4 linked regions of the Drosophila melanogaster genome follow. The protein of the gene in region 4 purifies or fractionates together with the protein of the main gene of each other region. This does not show direct contact. Each region holds a gene or a part of one and is shown on either strand. Other genes may lie near its edges.

Region 1 (5,289 bases), on a different chromosome or scaffold from region 4:
TGTCCAGGATGGGAACAGAGCATCCCAAACAACCCAACAGTCCAGCCACCTACACTAAAGCCTTCCTGGCTCCATCCATAGAAACCTCTTTTGTTGGACTAACCAAAGTCCTAAAATCCCACAGCTCTAAGCTAGATTAAAGCTGATTTACAAACAAGAAAATTATTTAACAAGCTTAAAGTACACGCTTTGTTTTAAAGTTTTTAAGCCGATTAGTTAATTACTGCATAGGGAAAGTGCCCACAATAGATGTCTTTAAATCCTATTCTATTTATACTTCTTGATTTCAATTTGTTACATGATTAAGTTAAGTTTTCTGTTTTTTGTTTTCGGTAATTTAATATATTTTCACTGCATTGCATGGCCTAATAAAAATGCTGCCATAAATGTTTAATATCAATAAAGCTGCGTTTTTAAAGCAAAAAGCTATTGATTAGATATTCCCAATAGCTATTGTTTATTATTTACGGCCTCATTCAAGAATTTCAATGGCCTAAATAAGCACACGACTGCTTACATCAGAAACCCATCAAATTTGGATATTTAGCCCGCCACGCCCACGAATTATTGACCATTCCAGCGCCTCAATCATCCGCCCACTCTTGAACTTTGGCAAAGAAGCGTTTGGGGAGATGGGTTTCCTGTGAAACCATAACGATAAACCTGAGCAGGCGATGTTCGCCAAAAGGACTGCGGCACCATCTTTGGGCCAACAGATACCAGATACTCCGGACCAGAGGCATCAATAGTTAAACATCAATTTGGCTTTTCCGAGTGACGTCAAGCGGGGCGAGTTGCCACCTGCCGCCCACCTCGACCTCCAGTGGATATAAAATTTCACACAGCTTAAAAAAGAGAAAAGCGGCAAAATGGAAATGCCATAAAGTTCCCACTTACAGAAAGAATGCCCATCTGCGAAATGTACCTTAAAACGTGAATAAAGACGCTAGTTTATTCTATAAATATTAACAACTTCATGGATGGATACAAATTATATTAAAACAGAGCTAAACAGATAGTAATCGAGCTTCAGGGATCTAGAAAAATTTGACACTGTTGTGTATGTGCAACTTAAACAAATTTAAATAAAATGTAAGTATTGAGACTCGTAAAGCTTAAAGTTTAAGCATAAGGTCCTCAAAGTTGTACATTTTACTGTATGATTAATAATATAATATAATTATAGCTTTTTCTCTCTGCATCAACGATATGATATAGGCATCCGTAATGAGGCATATACATATGACCAGCAACCAATTCCGCCCACATCCGTACATTTGCACTGATCCCCTAACAATACCGAAATGGGCTTTCTTGTTTGCTGAACTAACAATAATTTCATTAAGCCCAATGGCATCATTAAAATTTGCCCAACAATCATAATGGGGCCAGCTAGCAAGCGAACTGGGTACCGAATCTGCCAGAGGCTGCATAGGCAAACCTAAAATAAAAGAAAAGGAACACAGACCAAAAACAGAACCCCAGGGTACCCAAAAAAGCAGTGGAAATTTGCTGATTTAACTTTGGCAAAAGGAGACGCACACACACCTGGTTCGAGTGAAAGCCTTCGGGCCAAAAAGAAACGAACAAGTTTAAATGGCAGGGCGACAGCTTGGCCAGCAAAACGCTTTCCGCAAAGAATGAATAAAAAGAAATTGTTTCGCCCTGCAGCTTCTTACTAGCCCACTGACTCATATTATATACATATGTATATGTACATAAATATATATAGTATATGTGCATATATGCCTTACATATATGTATGTATGCATACGAAATGGATCCATCTCGTCTATATAGTATAGTCGGTTTGGGCCAAGTTTGGGCAACCAGACGGTCGCCGAGGTGCAAGAAGCGCTTGATGAAGTGCAAATGCCTGAGGTCAAGTTTAGGGTGGGGATTCTCGCACACCATCACACACTCGCACACACACACACACACTGCCTCATTTTGCGTCATATGTGTTTGCAAGTGTGTGTGAGTGTGCGAGTGTGTGTGGTTTTGTTTGCCAGTGTCTGGCGCACAGCAGCCAAAAAATTTGGGAAAAAAGTGAACAGCGTGATGCAGAAAAAGTGTAAGGGAACCCACAAAAATGGAAATCAATTCTTTGATTTTTTTATCGTGGTTGCTCCCCTTTGTCTAAGTGCAAAATGATAGAGGCATAGGAAATGGTATGTTTTTAAAGCGTTCTAGAACTTTAATTGTATTGCACTGAGGTATTTAAAATATAAAAGAAAAATGCTTAGTGTGTGGGATTTCACCTGCGTTTTTGTCTGCGTTTTGTTTTTTACGTTTTTATACTTTAAGAAAGTGAATAAAAGCAAGGATTTTATTAATAGAAACTAAAAAACCATATTTATATTCAATTTTTTTTTTAACAAGAATGAATTATTATTATTAATACTTTATAAAGGGGTAAATTATAATCTTTCAAAATATATTGATTTTGCGAGATACGGTCATAAATTCCATCACATCTCTGGGGTAACTCTTTCATAAAGTTTTTACTTCATTAGCAGCACTAAAAAACGTTCATTAAAGAAACATTCACAAAATTATGTTAATCATTCCACGTCCATTGCCTTTCCACCTCCCCATTTTCCGACCCCTTCTCTCAGCGGAAAATTGTATGGCAACTAATCAGAAATGTACGACAACTTCGGCAGAACAGTCAAAAAATATTGCACAGGGCCAATTGATTTTTTCCGCAAGATTTTCGTGACTTGCCGAAGAGCGAGTGGAAATGTTTAAGAAAATAATTATATGGAATTATGTTATTCACTGATTTGTACTCCTTTTCCGACATACAACTTCGATTTTTCCGCTTTCTTTTGTTAATTCACAGCGCAGAAACTCGATTTGCCGTTTAGCTGTGCAAAATCTTGTATATTTGTATACATATATATGTATATGTATATATATATCTATAATTATGTATTTGTTTGTAAGGCCCGGGGAGTTATATCTTCGAATCGAAATCCGCACGGCACTTCCACACAGGCGAGCGGCCAACGCGCGAGTGAAATGCCGATGCAGAGAAGTATGCTAGGGAAATTTTTCGGGGAGAATGTAGCGGAAAGCCATGGAGAAAGCTATTGAGAGCGAGTCTCGGCGAATGGAAAAAGTAAAGAGCAAGAGCGAAAAAAGAAACTAGATAATTTGAGAAAAAATGTTTTGTTCTTTTAGTAGTTTCTTAGTAGACGTTTTTAATGAATGACTATAAAAAAATTATTATTAAAAAAAATATTTTATAACAATTCATTTTAGGTAAGCTATTTTGCTATGACTGTCTCGAAAATGAAGAAATGAAAAATATAATTTTTAAAAACATTTTTTATTCCAACACGTAAACAGAGTAAGAGTAAAGTAAGAATTCTATAATCTGAAATTACAATTCCGGATCCGTTTCGATGGATGAAGGTGATCCAAATGATCCGGAACTGAGTGGGGCAGATGTTACTAAAATTCAGTCCTCGTCCAAGGATTGGAAAAAGAAAATTTCCCTTCCCCGCTCTTTCTAGCTCCAAACAGCCTGTCGTGGCCTTGTGAATATACTTCACTTTTGGAGAGAGAGCGAAAATAAAAGCCGCAGACCGGCGCTTTAGCATTGCCATCTTAGATTCAATGGATGGCAATACCTTTCTCTTTGGCTCAGCTGTTTTTTGTGGCATCTGGGGAAATGCTCTCTCGCTCTCTCTCTCTCTCTGTCCTTCCATCTATTCTCTGTTGGCCATCGCTGTCTCGCTCTTGGGTAATGGCATCTTGTGTATCGACCTTATGAGCTGCAAAAAAAGTTCTTCGGACCTGGACAAAAGTTTTTCATGTACATATGCGTATGTGTGTGAGTGTGTGCCGGACAGCGTTGCCATATTGCAGGCGCATAAATTATACCGTTAGCTTACAGATTCTAACTTTTTGTATTGCTTTGTTTTTGGGAGAGCTGCAGAGGTTTTTGCTGGGCGGAGATGAAGCCGGAAGGTGAAGCGAAGTTCTACGGAAACACACTTTCCAACATAAGAAAAAATTAAAAAAAAAAAACGAAACCAAAAAACAAGAGAAGCAACAACAGAGAAGTCAAAACACGGGCTTGTATAAATGCAAAACACACTCACCAACAGCCATTTACTAATCAACACAACAACAATAAGCACACAAACAGAAAACATGTGCGGCATACAAACACACAGACAGGACATCCTAACATATGCAGGAGTGCGTGTAACGGTAACGTAATACCTTGACAATGTCCCTCTCCCGTACGCACACACACACAGTCGCAGGAAAACAGACGCACACAGAATACTTTTAATACATTTTAAGCCGCATTTTTTCACACGTGGCCACATAACACAAGAATAAAAACAAGAAAGAATGAGACTGTCAAGTGTTGCGACAGAAAAGCTACCCACTACCAGGCAATTGAATATTTAAGTAGCATAATTTTTGGGATATGTCCTGAAAAATAGATGAATAAAGAACTTGGAGTACGCTTGTTTTTAACGAATACAGCATACCCCTTGAAAAGTACCGGGTATGCAACAACAACAACCAACATGTTGTCCTTACACACTGTTCTTTTTTGTCATTCGGAGATATGTATGTACATATGTGAAGATGTGGACTGGCCACAAAATATCAGGAAGCCTGCTCCCCAGAACAAAAACAAAGCCGCATAAAAAGGGTAGCGGAAACTGTAACACCCTCTCCATCAAAACCCCACACCAGCCACGAACTTTGTTTAGTGCGACTGGCAGTTATCATATCTGCTGGGCCGTTAGTTGGCTTTTTTCTTGTTTTACATATCGGTGTTCGGAAAAACAGAATGACCACAGGTATGAAATGGTTAAGGATATATGGATAACTCGGAAAAATTTGAATAAGAACTACACTTTGCAAGGGATATTAATACTCAATAAAATTAAATGGTAAAAACAATTTTGGGTACTAAGTATCAGTTTAAGTATCTTACCCAATAAAACTAAAATGTCCTACATTCGTAGCCAAGAAGAGTGTATTCCTTGTTTATTATGCTTTAACCTCAGGCCCTCGTTTTTTTAGTAATTTACTGTATAAAAGGGTTTTGTGTTTGTCATTCGCCAAACGAGTGTGGTAAGTGAAACCTTTTTGTTGTTGCGGCAGGCATAATTAAGCACAAAACTCGCATCAGAGTGTGCATGAGTGAGATCGCCGAAAACCGCACAACAGGAAAATTAAAATTCCAAAAAAAGCTGGCGAAAACTTAAACCCACACGAAGCAAACAATTTAATTATAATGAATTATAAATGATG
Region 2 (6,603 bases), 9.0 Mb from region 4:
GTTTTGTCTGTGAGTGTTAAATGGAATTTGTGTGGAATTTTGTAACATTTAACTATTGCACTTTGGAAATGCCTAAATTTCCAGCTGTCATGCACATTGGTTTTTACGAAAGGATCGAGAGTTTAATGGTAATAAGTATTTGATGTCAGTTTCCATTATCGGTTTTCAGTATCAGTATCTATATAGTGTATATTTTAGTTTACAATTCTTTGTTCTTTATCGGCAGCCGTCTCGCATTTGAAGAGAGTCATTAGCAGATTTATGGCTGGCGGCTACTGCTGCTGCTGCTTCAGATTAGTTAATACTTGGTGCTACAAAGATCGCTTTCTCTTCAGGAAGCGGCACAACATGAAGTAGCCCCTCTCAGTTTATCTATGGTACACAAACGAAACGTAATATTACCCAGAATCATTCAAAAAATTCTGCTATAAGTATAATAATATTCTGAAATTTTTGCTTCGTTTTCTTCAATAGGGAAATTTTTCCTATCGTTAATAAATTTTAAGTTGCTCAACAGTGATTAATCAAGGAGATTTTGTGGATCTGTCTAATTATTTGTCTATTATTTAATGAGATTTCTGCTCTTGCGGTCCTCCATTGGATTTTACAATCAAAAACATTAAACATGAATTTCGTTTAGATGCAATTGCAATAATCAATATATGTATAAATATTTAGATAACGATTTGCATACTTGTCATTTGCAGGCATCTTAATAATTCCCTTGCAAGCTTTTCTCTTTTGTTTTATATTGATTTCTGTTTTTATTACAACGACGTATATACTAGGTATATGTATGTGGTTTGTATGAATGTATGTAGATCTGTATATAGGTATATAATATCCAATTGCTACTGCCTCGAAATGATGCAACAATATATAATTTGTCATACATATAAACATAATCTAATTATGTTCTCTCGTTTCTCTACTATGAACTTTTTGAGCTTAACATTTACAAAAAAGTTTGGGAACATGAAATTGAAAATGGTTAAAGTAAGAGTAGGTTTACAAACATAATATTCAAATAAACAGGACAGTGGGTAAATCAACTCGCTGTTGGAGAAGATGAAAGGTACTTAAGAAGAGTGTAGGAGTGTGCCTGGCATAACTAAACGCGTACAGTTCTAGGGCCTTGTATGCTTTGATATTTCTCTAGGTAATTGGGATTGTGCATTGTAAAGTGGTTGCCGTTGCTCCATGGCTTCGCAGCTCCGTCTCCATCACCCCGTCCATGATTGTTGTGGCTTAGAATTGATCCGTCAACAGATCGCAGATTTCCCGAGTTACGGTCTCCTTGCTTGCCCGAACTGTCAGTCGGAACATCTATTGATAATTTGAGAAATAGGCAATAGGCATTATGTTCCAAGTATCTAACAATAAATTACTCACCTGAGCCTGCTTGTTCGGCTCCAATCGCATAAGGCAGCCCACCTGTTGCGATTGCGTATGAATGATGCCCGCGCAGACCATGTTGTCTGGATTGGGATCCACTTGGTCCAGCAGTTGCATTCCAAAGCCCATAAGCTTGTTGCGGGCTCCGGGCAAATCCAGTGGCTGTGCAGCCTTGAACACTTTCTGTGACCGTTGTTGTTCACTACAAATGCACAATTAATATTGAATATTATCAAAAGACACCTTATTAAATACCCGCTAAGGTTCTTCCATCGTGCAAAGAATGATTCCGCATTCATTTCGGTAGGCTCAAAGAATTTGTTAACGCTCAATGGCAGTTTAATGCTGAACTTCTGCTGGGTGCCGTTGTAGCGGAAACTGATCTCGATTGTTGGCGCATCGGCGTAGTCCTCGATGCATTCCGCGGTTAACAGTTGTTGGATCTGGGCGCCGGCCTCCAGGGTTGGCTCCACCACCTTCATCTGCACGTTCAGCTTAAGCGCATCCTCGGCAGACCATTGCAGCACAGGATTGAAGTTCTGAAAAGAGAGCAATGTAATGCCTGGAATGTTTCAGAAACTAATTTACTTACTGTCAGGGGAACCTGTGTCTTGTTGCCGTAGAAAAGGCCTAATCGTCCTAAATTCTGGCGAAACTCGCTCTTCACACCGATCTGCAGCATTTCGTTCTCAAACAAAACACCATTGTTCTTGAACAAAAACTTCTTCGTGTTGTACACGGCACTTGAGTTGTTGTTACTATTGCTGCCGTACATGTCGCCCAAAACATCAATGAGCGTACTGTTGCTATTGCTACCACTGCCAATATTATTTGATGGCGGAGTGCTTAATCCAAGCAGATCCGTATTTGCGTTGCTGTTATTCAGCTTGCTATGTGAATTGTTCACAAGGGCGTTGTTCTGCGCTGCAGAAGTCAGGGGTGCCGGGCTCTTCGACTCGCGAATTTCGTTCTCCGGCACCCTGCCGGGCTTCTTCTTCTTTAGCACTGCTAAAATTGAGCTCTCGCGTTCCGGGAACGATGGCATCTCCTCCAGGACGGTGGCCAAAACGTCTGTCGATGCCACTATGCTAAGCTGGAGATATTCGCTAGCTCGCTGCTGCAGTTCCGCATCTGCGGATCGAAGATTGCTGTGCTGGCGGAACACATCCTGGATATTGGTACGAATTTCCGGAAAGAGGTTGATAAATTTAATGTACGTGGACAGAAGAAGGGCCCGGGTCATCGGCGAGCACAAGTGGTACTTGGAGTGCAGTAGCTTGAATTGTACCAGTGGTGCTGAGCGGGAATCTCCGGCGATTAAGTTGCCAAACTCGCCCAAGATGTAGCCGCCCACTTTAACCATGTTTTCGTGGCAGGCAGGGGCCTGTAGCGCCTCAAAAACAGTCTTTGCGGCATAGCCTTGAACCTCCTCGCGATTGATCACGATCTGAATGACGCGGTACCATACTTCCTCAGACACGTAGTCGCCAGCAATGCGAATTAGATTGAGGATAACGTCCACATACCTGGTAATATAGCGGTTGTCATAAAGCACATAGACTTTTAAGCACAAGCTAAAAAAGAGAACACCTACCAGGTATAATCCGTGGCGTACTTCTCGGCAAGAATGGCCACCTTGAGCACCATTTCCTCACGAATAGAGTAGTCGGCCGTCTCCAGATAGTTGAGCATCTCCTGAACAATTTCCTCGGCATTACCACGATCACACATGGCATACAAAAGATCCACCGCCATTTGGCGCACGGACACGTCCTTCTCCATTTTCATTGACAAAATGACCACCTCCTGGTGCTTCTTCACCTCCTCGTGCGAGAACTCCGATGTGGCCAGGTGGCACATGGACTCCAGAGCCAGATAGCGCAAGTTGGTCTCCCGATTGCTAAGGAACTGTCCCAACTGGTTGCAAGCGCGGACAAGAAGGTTCGGCTCGCTGTCGCTGTGAATGATCAGGTTGATGGCCTCGAAGAGCACGGCGTTCTTTGCGTTAGAGTGCTGCACCTTCTTACTCTTTGGCGGCTCTTGCGCCTTGTTCAAAATCGTCTCCAAAGTTTCATTCAAGCGGGCCCGCACACCGGCCTCTTCGGTCACTGGATTGTAGTTTTGCAGCAATCGCAGAAGTTTCACCGATAGCCATGGAGCCGGCACAAAGTAATATGTGTAATCCTGCAATGCGAATTTAGTTAGTAATTAGAAGTTTCTTACCTTAAAAAATGCATTAAATCGTACCTGAAGATCCGTGTAGCTGGCTGTTACGATCCGGGATAAGCGTGAAACAGCCAAATTAACACAACCCTTGTACTCGTCCGGATTGCGCTTCACCAAGGCGTCGATCAGCGAGGTGGCCGCTGTGACCACTCCCATGTGCTGATCATTGAGCAAATGGATAATGCGCGAAGTCCACTCACCACCGGGAATGATGTCCGGCGAGGAGCGGAACAGGCGGAGCAGGCATAGCGCCGCCGACTGCTTCACCACGTCCATGGTGTCGCCCGAGACGAGTAGCTTGGGTATTTCGTTGGAAAAGGACTCGGCCATATCCCGACTTCCAATGTTGGCAATGCATTGTAGTGCCAGATTAACGTGCACAGGATTACGCGACTGCAAATCATTCTTTATAGATTGGATGATCAGCCGAATAAGGTCGCTGTTGGTGTTCACCAACACTGAGATGAAAAGGTAACCCTAAAGTTCAAAAAACAGATTTTATCAGTAACATTAAATTTAAAAAACCAATTTTTTAATTATTTTTATCAAACTTCAAACAACGACAAGTTAAATTTAATTGAATGAAATTCCCTTTTCCCACAAGCAGAGTCGTCTGCTTTCAGTTCAATTATTTCGACTCGCTAAATAAACAAATGATTATTGAAGCAATTTTTTGGGGTACTCACAATCTGCTTTTCTGAGTATTTGTTGGAGGACAGCAAATTGACCGCCTCCATGTGCCCGAAGTCGATGTCATGGCCGAGGAGAAATATGAATAACAGCTTACAGACATATTTCTTTTTCTGATAGCCGTCGAGGGTTTTGTCTCCTTTAAATTTGCTTCGTATATTGGCCAACTCCTTGTTTATGCGTTTGACTTCGGCCTCTTTGCTTTTGCCTGTGGGCAAATGGGTGAATATTAGTATAGAAATTTGTGTCTTATGCGGGTATAAGGGAGATTCACAGTAAAACAACAGTGATTCGTCTGCGGAAGCTTCGCTTTCCTTTCCACCCCGCGATTGATCGATCGGAGAGACGACTTCACACCCTTCAGCTCTCTCCATGTCGCGGATTTTCTCCGATTCACATAGGCGTCAATTAGTACCAGTCACCGATCCGCAGCGGAACCTCTGCTCTCCTATATGTTGTCCACAAACCAGAAACTAGTAACCGAGCATACAGCAAACAACGAGCTGTGATAATAATACCATACAGTGAAGCGTCGGACTCTTGCGCACACACATATGCACGCTTCGAAGTACTACAGTAAGTCATCAAACTATCAAAATTGTAAGTATTTATTAATACTGAGAGGCAACCGATTCACATTGATATAACTATTTGCTGTGTTGTACCCATATATATAACTATATATATAACTTTCTCATATCTTTCTAATGTAACGACTACGAAAACATTTACATAGGAATGGAGAAGAAAAGTAGCCAATATTTTGTAATTCATCTGGCAGAGAGCTTACTGTTCCTGCGTTTTTGTACCGCCCCACGTTTTTGTCAGTGCGCTGCTCCTGGTAATTGATCAAGTAATGGCGCTGATTCCGCCCCTATGGAAAATCTCTTGTTGCGACCCGCTCAATTGGATTTAATGCTGGTTACCCAAGAGATCTGCACTTACAGTTCCTTATATCCGATATAAAGACGGCCAGGCCTCTCATGCCATCCCCCCGCACCGGCGCCATGGTAGTTAGCTTGTTAATTTTCGCTGGTTTTATGCAAACTGGGGGCGCAAGAAAATCGTCAATGGATGGCGGCCGAGTCTCGAGGCGTTCTTATCGCTCGAACTCGACGTCGGACCCTAAGATATATAGTTGCTCTCCGCTCTGGTTCTGCAAAGCTCTTTTTACTTCGATTGGATCTCGGCCGTTCCTTGGGACCTGAAAGGGGAAACGATACTCTATTTATTGTGGGTTGTGGGAATGGGAAAACTTAGTATTATGATTACGTTTTAGTATTTGTGTTAACAAACGTATATTATTCAAACAAAAGGTATTTTGGATAACAATTTGTATTTAGCCAGGGAGTAGCTTATTGTGCATGCCAACACATTGATACAGCTTCTATTTTGAAAGTCCGTATTGCAGTTTTACTTTTGATAACGAAAACGCCACAAAATATGTATGCACCACACATTTCACTGAGCATCAAGCGCTGATAACGATTTATATGTATAAAAAATCCAATGTTTAATAAACTCAGAACTTTTAAACGGTAAATAGTGGACTACGTGATTGATTTTCCGGCCAGTGCACCCAATGGCTGGCGAACTTTGACATTTTCTGGTGGAAGTAGAGTGTACCCCCGCATTTTTGGCAACCGATTTATTTTCAACTTGGCAGCGTTTTGCCCGTTGATAAAGATTCTGTGACCTCGCTCGCCCACTTTTTATCGCCTGGCGAAGTCGATGTGCACTTGGGCATTATTATTTGGATTTGCGCGACCACCGGCTTTTGTTTCTGTAGTATACTTTTTACTTTGCTTTCCGTTTCGTTTTATTTTCTGTTTTTCACTGCGCTCTTCGGTTCTCTTCTTTCTTTGCTTTCATGTCACGTCACTTTTTTCACCGCTGGATGACGAGGGCGTTTTGCCCAAAAAAAAAAGCACCGAAGAAGCCTCCAAAAACATTAATGGGCGTATGTTAGCTGTTCTTTTTTTTTGAGCTTACTTTTCCGATTTTTTTTACTCGCCAGCGGACAAAATCGGTTAGCGTTGCGGAATTTCTGTGGCGGAGCAGAGAGAGTAATCTCTGACTTCTGAAGTTGGCTTCGCTTGGAATCGGAATCCGGGGTGTTGGCTGCGGAATGTTTGACCCTGCGTGTTGCACTTTATGGAACTCCAACTCGCTGGAGCTTCGCCTCGCTGATTTGCCGCTAATTTGTTTGTTAACTATTACCAAGTGCAGGGCAATTCACTAAAATGAAAATTTCTATTGATTTTTCTTCGCTCTCGCTGCCTAAGAGTGGAG
Region 3 (5,614 bases), on a different chromosome or scaffold from region 4:
GGACACGTGTGCGTAATCAGCGTCGCAAGAATCCATCGGATTGCATGGCAGCCCACACCCCTTCCTTCTCATTCTTCAACGAGGAGTTTCAGCATGAGAAAATTCCACCACATCGAAATCAAAAACGAGTTGCACGGGGTTGGTATGAAAAACGTAAACAATTTCCTGATTCTTTAGGTACAGGCTTTTTTAAATGCATATACAAGATATAACGTATTTTAAGAACGAAGTTCAAGGTGATGATACTGTACACTTCTACATTTTAGATCAGAATACCTTTTATTTCTTTTTTTTTTTTACAGATAATTTGACCTTATATGAATAAATTGGCTAATAAATGGAAAAAATAATTGATGCATTCTCATTATTTTCGTTACATTCAAAGATGAGTCTATTTAATTTAAATAGCTTTAAAGAAGGTCTCACTTTCCAAGACACCTTTTTCAGATTTTTTATTTGATTTCTCATGCCTTAAAATGCATTGCATCAAAATGATATTTTTTATGAGATTAGGTAAGTCCCATATTTCCAGAACACAAACGCGAAAGATAGAAAACAATCAGATTTGGAATTTAGTCGGAGAGTGCTCGAAAGAGATTTCAGAAACACCTCTGGCTGTGTTGTGTGCAACGTGTATTGATTATATTTCGAATCGGATCTTAGCTAAGGTATATAATTTATAATAGTACGATAGAGTAGTTGTTACAAAGGAATAGCCTAGATGTTGCGCGCCTTGAGCACCTGCTTCTGTGGCGGACTGGGCACGTTCTCCTTGCCGGCGAACAGGACAGTCTTCTTGGGAGTGCTGGCCGCCGATCGTGGTGTTCGTGGGGTGTGGGGGGTGCGCGGACTGCGCGGGGTGTGCGGCGCCTTGGGTGTGCGGGGGGCGGGACGGGGCGAGGACTTGCCGGCGGACAGGAGCTCGTTGATCTCGCTGGTGGTATCCTGGCGCACGCACTTGTCCGAGGAGTTGAGCAGCCACGTGGTGATCTTCTCGCAGTCGGATCGCAGCTCCGAGTCGCACAGCAGATCCTCGATCTTCTCCAGATCGGTGGTATTGGAGCGGTTGGCCTTGCCAGGTGTTCCCAGCAGAGAGGCGGATCCCGGTTGCTTGGACTTGAGGGCAATGTTCTCCAGCTTGAGCTGTTCGCACTCCTCGCGCACCTTAACAAGCATCTGCTCCTTGTTGTCCAGCTCCAATTGGGCGAACTGCAGCACGGTGGCGAATTCATCGAGCGCCTTCTTCATGTCCACCATGTAGGCCTCGCGCGTCTCGTCCTTGCGGCGCAGCTCGTGGTAGTGGGCCAACTGGGCGTCGCCATCGATGCGCTCCTGGAACGAGTTTGCAATCTGATTGAATTTAGCCAACGTCTCCGCCTCGCCGGCTAGCAGCTCGTGGAGCAAGGACTCCTTCAACGATACCTCGCTCTGCAGCGTCTGGGAGGAGGATCTCAGTGCGTTGAGCGCATCCTGGCTCTCGGTCAATTGCTGGCGCAGTTGCTCTGCGTCCGCCTGCAACACCAGATAGCTCTGCTCCAGCGCTCCCTTGGCCAACTGCACCGATTCCAGCTCCGCTCGGTACTGCTCCACATCCGCATCGGACTTCTTTAGACGCTCCATCAGAATGTTGACGGTGGCCCGGGTGTTGGTCAAAGTCAGCTGGTAGTTGTACTTCTCGGTGATCGTCTTGGCCATGTCCTGCTTCAGCTGCACCAGCTGCTGCTGCAGTGCGTCGCTCAGCTGGATGTAGTAGTCGATGCCGTTGCGCAACTGCTCTTCGCATTTCTGCAGCTTCTCGTCGCGCATGCGCAGCATATCATTGGTGGTCTCCAGCAGCACCATCACGTCCTGCTTCTCCAGCTCGATCTTGATCAGCTCGTTCTCGGCCAGCTTCTGGCGCTTGTCCAGCTCGGCGCGCCAGTAGCTCTTCTCGCGCTCCACCGCGCTCTCTAGGTCGCTCTCAACCTGCTGCTGCACCTTGGCCACCGCCTGCTGCTGCTCGGTGTGGCGAGCCTGTTCCCGGCACAGCTGGCGAATGGTATCGCAGTGAGCATCGATCTCGCAGTTCTTGTCGAGAAGCTCGTCTTGCAGCGAGCGGATCAGAGTGCACTTGTTGGCCAAGTCATTCTTCAGGGTGTTGCGCTCCACCTTCAGACACTCCAGTTCCGCCTGGCAGCTCTTGGCCTCCTGTCCGTAGGACAGGGCATCCTGTTCGATCTGCTGCTTCAGCTGGACCACGTCGGCCAGCAGGGAGGCATTGGTCTTCTGGAGATTCTCTACCAGCTCAATGTTCTCGGCGGTCTTTGCCTGCTCCAGGCTGCAGTGCTCGCGGGCCTGAGCCACATCCGCCTGAAGAGCAGAGAGTTGTGCCTGCAGCTGCTCCTCCACCTTTTGACGATCCTCATTCGCTGTCTGCAGCAGCTCGTTGGCCAGACGCAGTGCCTCGCTCTCGGCAACCAACGCCTCCACTTGCCTTTCATGCTCGTCGTGCTGTTGCTGCAACTGCTGCTCCATGGCGGCCAAACGCTCCAAAAGATCAGCGTGCTCCTGGCCCATCTGCTCGTTCAGAGCTTTGTGCGATAAATTCTCACTGGTCAGGGCTTCGATGAGCCGATCTGTCTTGGAGGTAGCCAACTCATGCTCCTCGCGCAACTTGGCCTCGGCTTCCTTCAACTGATCCACATGGCGGCGCAGCACGTCCAGTTGGCTCAACTGGCTCTCGATCAGTTCGTTTTTGTGACGGATTTCGTACTGGAGTGCCTCCTTGCCCTTCAGACGGCTGGCTGACTTGGCCTCCTTTACGGGCGTGGTGGCTGCCGAATGCAGAGGAGTGGATGCCGCTGTTGAGGCGCCACTTCCGCTTCCGGTGGCCGTATCCGTGTGACTGGGAGTCGGACGGAAGCGTAGGCGCTGCGGCAACGAAGGAGTACGGAACAGACGTAATCCCTTTGACTTTTTGTCCTCCTTGGGAATGGCAAATTCCTTGGCCTCCTTCGAGCTGGACGCGAAACGCACGGCGTCCTTGAAGAACTTCTCGATCTGCTCCTTGCGTTCCGGTTGAACGGTTGGCGGAGCAGCGGCTGCCGAAGACGCGGTGGGCGTGGCACTGCCCGCCGATCCCGCCGAGCTGTTGGACGCAGCTGGCGAACCGCAGATGGCCACATCCACGTCGTTGAAACGCTTCAACTTGGCCTTGGAGAAAGACATTTTCGAATTTGTTTTTTGGACTTTCGGTTTAACTTGGTAACGATTCTTTTCGGATTTTGTATCAATGTCTCATTAACAACGCTCGTTTAACTTTCGATATAACAATAACTCAACGATCAAACATAAACACAACTTTAACTTTCGGTTTAATTTGGTTATCTTTTCCTTAGGATTTTTAGGTAAACTGTTTAACAATATGGTAGTAGTCTGTAGTCGTATTTAATTCATCTGTACTTTGTGGTCCGTTCTGTGCTACACTAAACCCGCTATCCCGTTGCTACCCGTTTCACTGTACCTACGCGTTCCGCTGTCAAAACCTAACTGAGCTCACCTTCTGTCCAAGATCCCTGAGGCAGACATAGCCTCCAGCTGGCACAGCGAGTGGAAAAGGGATGGATAGAGTGTGGAAACGAGATAGACCCAGGGGAGGCAAAGAAAACAACCCTCGCTCGAGCAGGGGTCGCTTCAACGATCCTGCATTGCTTCACCTATGTGGGATATACCCAACATTTCAGGTTGGGTATTTCCGAGATCTTCAAACGAAAAATGGTTTATGGTTTTCATTTCGTAGGACTTTCATTTTAATCTAATAACATTAACATTGAATATAATAATTAGTGGACATAGAAAATAATATCACGACAATTTTGGATTTTTTAGATATTAGCTGAACAAAAATTTCATATTCCTTAAACATTCTAATGTTAATTTAATATTAGACAAGTCATTTGCAGACGGCATAATTCTTCTGATCTTAACCACTTTTCAATTTAAATTAAACATATAATATTATATATTTTCTATAATGTCCTCTTTTAAGAGTATCTAGAATTCAGGTAAGCCGAGTTATACGACTCCTAATTTTTTTTTTATTTGGTGGTAGTTCGTGCCACAGTTCTTGATCCCCTGTTCGTCTTATCTGTGTGTTTGTCAAGACGTCGGCCTCGTGTATATAAAGGAAATGTTTTCATTTTAGCGCGCGCAAATGTTGCAATTGTAGTTCAAGACAGCACGAGGAGGGTTCGAGACCGGAGTGGGGGTAGCAAGATGGGTAGGGGTGGAGATAGGACGACGGGGTTCCGCATTCCCCGGCTTAAGTACATATGGGAAATGTGCCGTTGCCGACGAACAGAGACACACTCACTCACATCTGCCTGGGCTTCTCCTTTCCTTCGAGGACTACAAGTAAATGCGATTGCTTTCGAGAATTGCGAGACTACGAGTACAAGGATATGAGCTGATGGCTGGATGGACTGCCTCATCCGTTAGCTCCAACACAGCTGGCAGCCAGCATAATTCGTTAATTTGATACGAAATCCGATGCCCGCATAATTAAAGGAAAATGCGTCGGAAATGGGCGAGTTGCGCCTGCGCAATGAGTTGAATGGAATTGAGGCTAAATGAATTGCATGGAAAATGGAAATGCGTCGGGAAAATTGATTTTTCATGTGATATCGCTAGGCAGTTGGGCAATCGGCCATCTATAATCTGTATAGAGAACCCCCTCATGATATCCTGCTGATCCTGCGGTAGCTGCCTGTGCATCCTGTCATTTTTTCACTTCTTTTCTCCAGTGAGTTTGTCACAACTGCCAACTGAAATCAGCTGGTTGTTCCTTTGATGGCAAACAATGACCGGAAGATTCTAGCAACTGGGAGGTGATAATTCTAGGTTAAAGCAGACAAGCATGAAATTCTGGGTGGGTCAGCCACACACAGCTGTGCAAAAGAATTATAATGTAGAAAGACAATGTAGGGAGCCATAGGACAAGGGAAATCGTTTGGAAATCAATAGAATATTAATACTCAAGCATTACTTTTTAATTTATATTTATGCTTCACAACCTTTGTCAATTTATATAGTTCATGTACATAATATGTATGTATATAAGGTTACGAAACCATCCTTTGGTTTCATAGAGGTAATATTTTCCCATAAACATATTTGCATTTGATTTTCCCAAACTCTCTTATAATAAAAATGGAAATTTTACGAAAAAGGGTTTTCATTATTCGCTGATCCAATGATGTGCAGGACTCACAGTAATATTAATGATGTTAATGACATTTACCCTACGCCGCGACACCTTCAACATCATTTTCCCATGCCTGTCCATGCATAACTACCATTCATTGAACGCGCTATAAGGTAACGCGATCTAATGATGTTTCCATGGGATCCATTCTCACTTCTCCTGAGCCAGAGCCAATGTCATCACAACACAAAGTGAGTGCAACAAAAGACTGGCTTGGCCCCTGAAGATCAAAGGGGTTTCGCACCCTCATGGGATACAAAACGTTACTAAAGAACGAGGACGTGGATCTGAGTCATCGACCTTTGAGCAACGTCCCGATGAAGCTACGAAGAAAAGGGATCCAGGAAACCGGACCCATGACATTGGATCTGG
Region 4 (5,186 bases):
TGTGGGGGCGCAGTAATACTGGCGCAAATAGTCCCCTATTTGCCTAATAAGCCAGGCGAACAGGTGTGTCACGGTATTTGGGTTACATATAAGAATTTGGCATAGGTAAATAAACGTTCTATTTCAATAGAATTTTATATCAGAGCTAAAGTAATTACATACACAATTTGACAAACTATAGTTTCTATATAAGATTAATCCTTTATCAGCGCACAACCAGCTGACAGACCGGAAATTGAACTGGCTCATTAAAGGCAATAAAAAAGGAGCTAGGAACGGAAATTCTCGTAATCATATCCAAGCATGCCCTTTGACATTCTTAAGGCGCTGCGGCTTTGGCCAACTTAGCCAAGCCAAGGCCAAGTTATTACCAAGTTGGCGTGTCGACTTAGTCGGGTCTTCGAGAGGCGAGAAAAGTTTTTGGCATTAATGCGAAATGTTTGCTGTTCAGCTTTACGGCTAGTTAGCTATTGGCAGGCAAGAAAAATGCCAAGTATAAACAAAAAGTTACAAACTCTCTAATACCCTTTAAGGTTCATAATTGTAATTTTTTGCAGACTTTCAAAGCAATTGCAAGTGGTTTTTATAAAAGAAATACAAGTGGGGACACCTAAAGGAATCCCCGTGTCTTCTAGGCCGATTTAATAGCGTTATTTTCTATTAAAATCTGCCTGTTAATCGACGCAGCATTTAAGTATCAACTTAATGACAAAACGTTTACATGCATAATTATCCAATTTTTTGCATTTTTAATTTCCTGCCTTAGATGTAGAATGCCAGGTGCCACATGCCCGCTGTGTCCCGTCTCCAGAGCTAAGTTAATGGCCCAGAAGTTGAAGTTCTAGCTGGCAGCCATGACTTGGAGTTAGACTTGGTCTTGGACTTGTTCCCGTGTTCTTGACTTGTCCAACGTCTCTCTTTGTTGGCAGTTGGCTGGCTGGCTGCTGCTGCTGTTGTTAATCATCGGCGTTGCAGCATAAAAATAGAAAGGAAATTCCATGAAATTAAAGTTTTATGCAGCCACAGCCGAGGCAGCGATCAAGTTGAAGTTGAAGTTGAGGTCTAACTCCTCGACTGAGTGTTGAACTTGCAGAGCGATGGGATGGAGCTCGAGGATGGGGCGCTGGAGCTTGGAGCTGAGAGCTGAGAGCTCGGTCTTAGCCAAACGTTTAGCGAAAGCCGCGTCTCGAAGAATGCAGTCGACTTGGCATAATCGAAAGGCATGTGAGAAAAGTTGGAGTCGGCTGGCTGCCAGCCAGCCACCAAACCGGTTCCATTCGACGCGGCTCCACCATCCCAGAGTTGGCTTAACTCAAGTCCAACTGCACCCAGGTAGCATTATGTTCTTACTTTTTTCCTCGGCTTGTTACCAGTTTTTTTTTTCGTTCGTGTTTCTGGCTTTTCTTGGAATGTTTCTGAATGGTTTTTGCTGGAGCTTTTTGCCTGAAGTTTTTATGAACTGCTGAGATTTATAATCTGACCAGGCTGCAAAGCATTGCTACCAAAAAAAAAAGAAAAAAGTGCAGCATAAATCAGGGAGCCCTTTTGGTGGAAACTCAAGATCTTGAAGAACATTCCGAGTAAATCAAGTTGAACAGCATAATTATGCAAAGCAAAAGTATCCCATAGTTTGCGGCTGCAAAAAACTCTCTTCTGGCGAAAGCGGGGGCCAAGTTGGCATTTAATTACACTGTTATTATAATATATTTTCACCCACTCTCGGTTGGTTTCGTTCTCAGCCGCCCCAAACCAATTCATTACTCATTTCAATGGGAAATTTTCCCCATTTTCCATTTTGCCTTTGCCACTTTTCTTTTTTTTCTTCGTTTTGTTTGTTATCGCAGTAATTTATGCAGTTGACAGTCAAATAATTTGGCACACAGTATACATTAAAATAAATTAACTTTACAAAAGAGCTGGGAGAAGAGTTTGTGGTAAGAATATGTGCATGCTTCGGCAGAAATTCATTGGATTTTAAACTGAAATGTGGGACTATATTTGAAATAGTCTAAATAGTCTTTATATACGATCGATTCGAAGAGTTGTAGTCATGCCAAATGATTCATCTTCGGAAACGTGAGAGACTGGAGACCAGTAGAATCCAGTCAATCGTAACTTTTTAGATATATATGTACGTATGTGCGTATGTATGTATGTGCGTTCATGTGATCCAGCCAAAATCAGCTAATTGCTAATTGTGTTTATATATTTCATTTGTTAACCCTCTCTCAACAATTGCTATGTTCAAGTGCAAACTGCAAAGATTTATTGAGTTTTTTAGCTGGGTAATTCATTCTAAATTACTGGTATCGCTATAACCTTAATGGATATACTCCCCCTGATTATTAAAATTAATGCCCCAAAACGTATTTTGAATACTTTAGCTTATTGCGAAGCAAAGTCTAGTATAGTGTTACATAGTTTGAACAGCTGTTTTTAGTTTTCTATACCAATGCATATTGAAGACGTCAAAAACTGGAATTATTACAAAAATGAATATTATGTTTTTACAAATGTCAAAGCAGCAACAACTAGCGTAAAGCTGTAAAAGAATTGCATATGTATATGCAAATCTGATTTTGCACCACAATAAACTCGTTTTGACTTGGCTTTAAATCCGAAGCTCAAGTTAAGCTCAACTTTGGCTGTTGTTACTGTTTTTTTTTTTTTTTTGGTTTTAAACATTTACCATATATATATCGGGATCGGTTTGTATTTGAGTTGCTTTTTTTGGTATATTCCAAAAAGCCGAGTTTTGTTGTCAGTCTGTTTTTGTTTTGATCACATTCGTATGTATAATTAATAAATAAATCCGGTTCGGGCCTTATATAACTTTCTTGCTCATTCAGTGGATTTTTGCCAACGTTTCGGTTTTAACTATTTATTAATTCCAAGAACACCTCGCACAGCACACAGCACACGGAATGTGGGGAAAATCGCGAAAAACCGAAATAACGACAACGCGACACCGATTAAAACGATCCCCGTGTTAAGAGCCCGGTGCCCGGTAAATGGATGGCTGGGATCGGCTTGGCCCAAAAGGCCTGGACTACTTAGGTGTTAACTTTTTTACTATGACCCCCCCGGAAATTGGAAAAAGGTTACACTATCCCTACGCGGACATTTGGACAACCGACGACGACAGTGGGCCGAAAGCGAATGGAAGCGGAGGGAAAACGGAACGCGTTTGTCCGGCAAGCGGTAAGCGGTTAGCTCGATGCGGCGGCTCAAATTGCTCTACTGTACTGGCTGACTCTGGCCGCACGCTCAGCGCTGTTTGAGTCGAGAGGAAAGAGTGCGAGCGTGCAAAGAGCGGAAGAGAGCGACAGCTGTTACAGGGTGTTTCGGCCTGTGTGTGTGTGCACTGAGAAAAATCGAACAAATTGGCCCTGATTTCAACTAAATGTGGTGTTAAGATCACTTTGAGGGAAGAGTGATCTTACTACTTTTCTATCGATTTGGAAAAGGTCGTCATCAAAGGGTATTGCCTTATTCTATTACGCGCTTTTAATACAACCTATTAAGCCATTATTATCATAGTGTTTTATTTTATTTATTATATTACAAGTTGTTAAGTCCTCTTAAAACTTTAAAGTGATTTTTTCAGTGCACCAGTACGTTTGTGGATTTGCTCAGTTCCATTGTGTTTATTTACTACCAACGACGACGTCGTTTTGCTTCTTCCATCTCACCTCCGCTCTGCTGCGTTTGTATTTGTTGTGATAATGATAAAACTGCGACGCGTTTCTGCAGCTTGTAGGTTTTCAAGAGTGGGAGTGAGATAGCAGAAGTTGAGCGAGCGAGAGTGGCGTTTAAGGTATCTCGGCCAGGTATAATCTCAGATGCGCTGCATTTAGAGATCGCGATTTGGTGACCGTGGCTTAAAAGATTTGCGGTTGGGATAAGTTGAGAAAATTCTTGGAAAACACGAGCTCAATTTTATTATTTAACTCTGGGAATTTCCCAAATGGGCCAGTGCTAAGATAATTACAAAGCCGGGTAGTTCAAAAAGGTCCTCTTATTGTTTTGTAATATCTCTGGCTCTCAGATTTATCGCTAACCCATACGCCTTGGATTTAAAGTTCGGAATTGTCTTTAGTCGTCTTTCTTTAGCAGCGCTCAAATTCTTGGAAACTTTGTAAAATAAATTATGAATTTTGCACGGGTGTAAAAATTACAAGTTTTAAGGATGTTATCTTTAAAAACTTGCGTAATAAAAATTACTAATCCCGAAAATTTTTTTGTCTTCGAAATCAGGATTTGAGATACCCCATTGAAGTGATAGAAGGGCATTCAAAACCAGTTGGTTTCGTTGGTTCTGCAGCTGCCAGTTTTTTCCACATGGAGTATGAAGAGCGAGTGGTTTGGTTTGAATGGAAATGATTATGGCACTCAAGAGAGTCATCAAAGAGAGTTACCAAAGACTTAGCTATTAACAAAATGCAAAAGATGGCTAGGTGGTTATGAAATCCCAACGGACATACAAAACAAATGAAAAGAATAAAAACTGATTAACTGAACAATAATCAAGGCTCGGTAATCAATGTATTGAACTTATCGATTTGAATTAGTTGCCCAACCTAAATTCCGTGACAACAATGGCAAAATGATCGATCGAAACCGTAGAACAAAAGAGCGCGCGATGCAAGGTCGTTCGCTCTTTAAGAGAAAATTGTACCCTAAGAGAAACATAGATAACTCCGAAAGATAAATACCCAAATGTGCGCGTGAGACAGTCATACATATAGATAATAAGAGAGTTTTCAGCAATGAAACGTGCGAAAAATTGCAATGCAGCAGCGACTTTAATCCAGGTAGCCCATAAAATCAGGTAGTAAAAAGAATGGTATCAAAACTATTGGGAGCAAACCATTGCTACCTACACATGGCACCCAATCGCGCCAACATTATCGCAATTTAAATGCAGAAAAAACAAAGTGCTGCAACTGATGAAAAAAGCAGACTTGCACTCAGAAAAAATGTAAATTCTTATTGCTATCATTTAATAATACAAATATTTCCAAATTTCATTAAAAGATGACATAAAATTTTCAAACTTTTTCGAGCTTGGGATAAGTTATTCAAAAAGTAATAAAATCAAAATTAACCATAATAAGTGCATACTTATGAATTGATTTACTCAAAACACGAGAAGATGTTAGTTATATAAAGCTTATGTCCATTAT

Evidence for each region.
Region 1: the proteins of numb (region 4) and aPKC purify together in Drosophila melanogaster (affinity purification with western blotting, with the first as the bait; 2 studies listed by BioGRID). This does not show direct contact.
Region 2: the proteins of numb (region 4) and AP-2alpha purify together in Drosophila melanogaster (affinity purification with western blotting; 5 studies listed by BioGRID). This does not show direct contact.
Region 3: the proteins of numb (region 4) and mira purify together in Drosophila melanogaster (affinity purification with western blotting, with the first as the bait; 2 studies listed by BioGRID). This does not show direct contact.

Annotation. Positions count from the first base shown.
Region 1 is NT_033778.4:14,955,436-14,960,724, forward strand, and holds the start of aPKC (atypical protein kinase C), read right to left. Parts: upstream 3,022-5,289; 5' UTR 2,809-3,021; intron 1-2,808. UniProt on the Drosophila melanogaster protein: Serine/threonine protein kinase which is required for apico-basal cell polarity in the germ line as well as in epithelial and neural precursor cells, for epithelial planar cell polarity and for cell proliferation.
Region 2 is NT_033779.5:408,140-414,742, forward strand, and holds AP-2alpha (adaptor protein complex 2, alpha subunit), read right to left. Parts: upstream 4,747-6,603; 5' UTR 4,686-4,746; coding exon 4,586-4,685; intron 4,520-4,585; coding exon 4,308-4,519; intron 4,099-4,307; coding exon 3,643-4,098; intron 3,580-3,642; coding exon 2,990-3,579; intron 2,922-2,989; coding exon 1,988-2,921; intron 1,935-1,987; coding exon 1,651-1,934; intron 1,598-1,650; coding exon 1,393-1,597; intron 1,327-1,392; coding exon 1,249-1,326; 3' UTR 737-1,248; downstream 1-736. UniProt on the Drosophila melanogaster protein: Adaptins are components of the adapter complexes which link clathrin to receptors in coated vesicles. Clathrin-associated protein complexes are believed to interact with the cytoplasmic tails of membrane proteins, leading to their selection and concentration.
Region 3 is NT_033777.3:19,931,467-19,937,080, forward strand, and holds mira (miranda), read right to left. Parts: upstream 3,533-5,614; 5' UTR 3,208-3,532; coding exon 718-3,207; 3' UTR 568-717; downstream 1-567.
Region 4 is NT_033779.5:9,447,885-9,453,070, reverse strand, and holds the start of numb (numb), read right to left. Parts: upstream 3,242-5,186; 5' UTR 2,690-3,241; intron 2,476-2,689; 5' UTR 2,451-2,475; intron 1-2,450.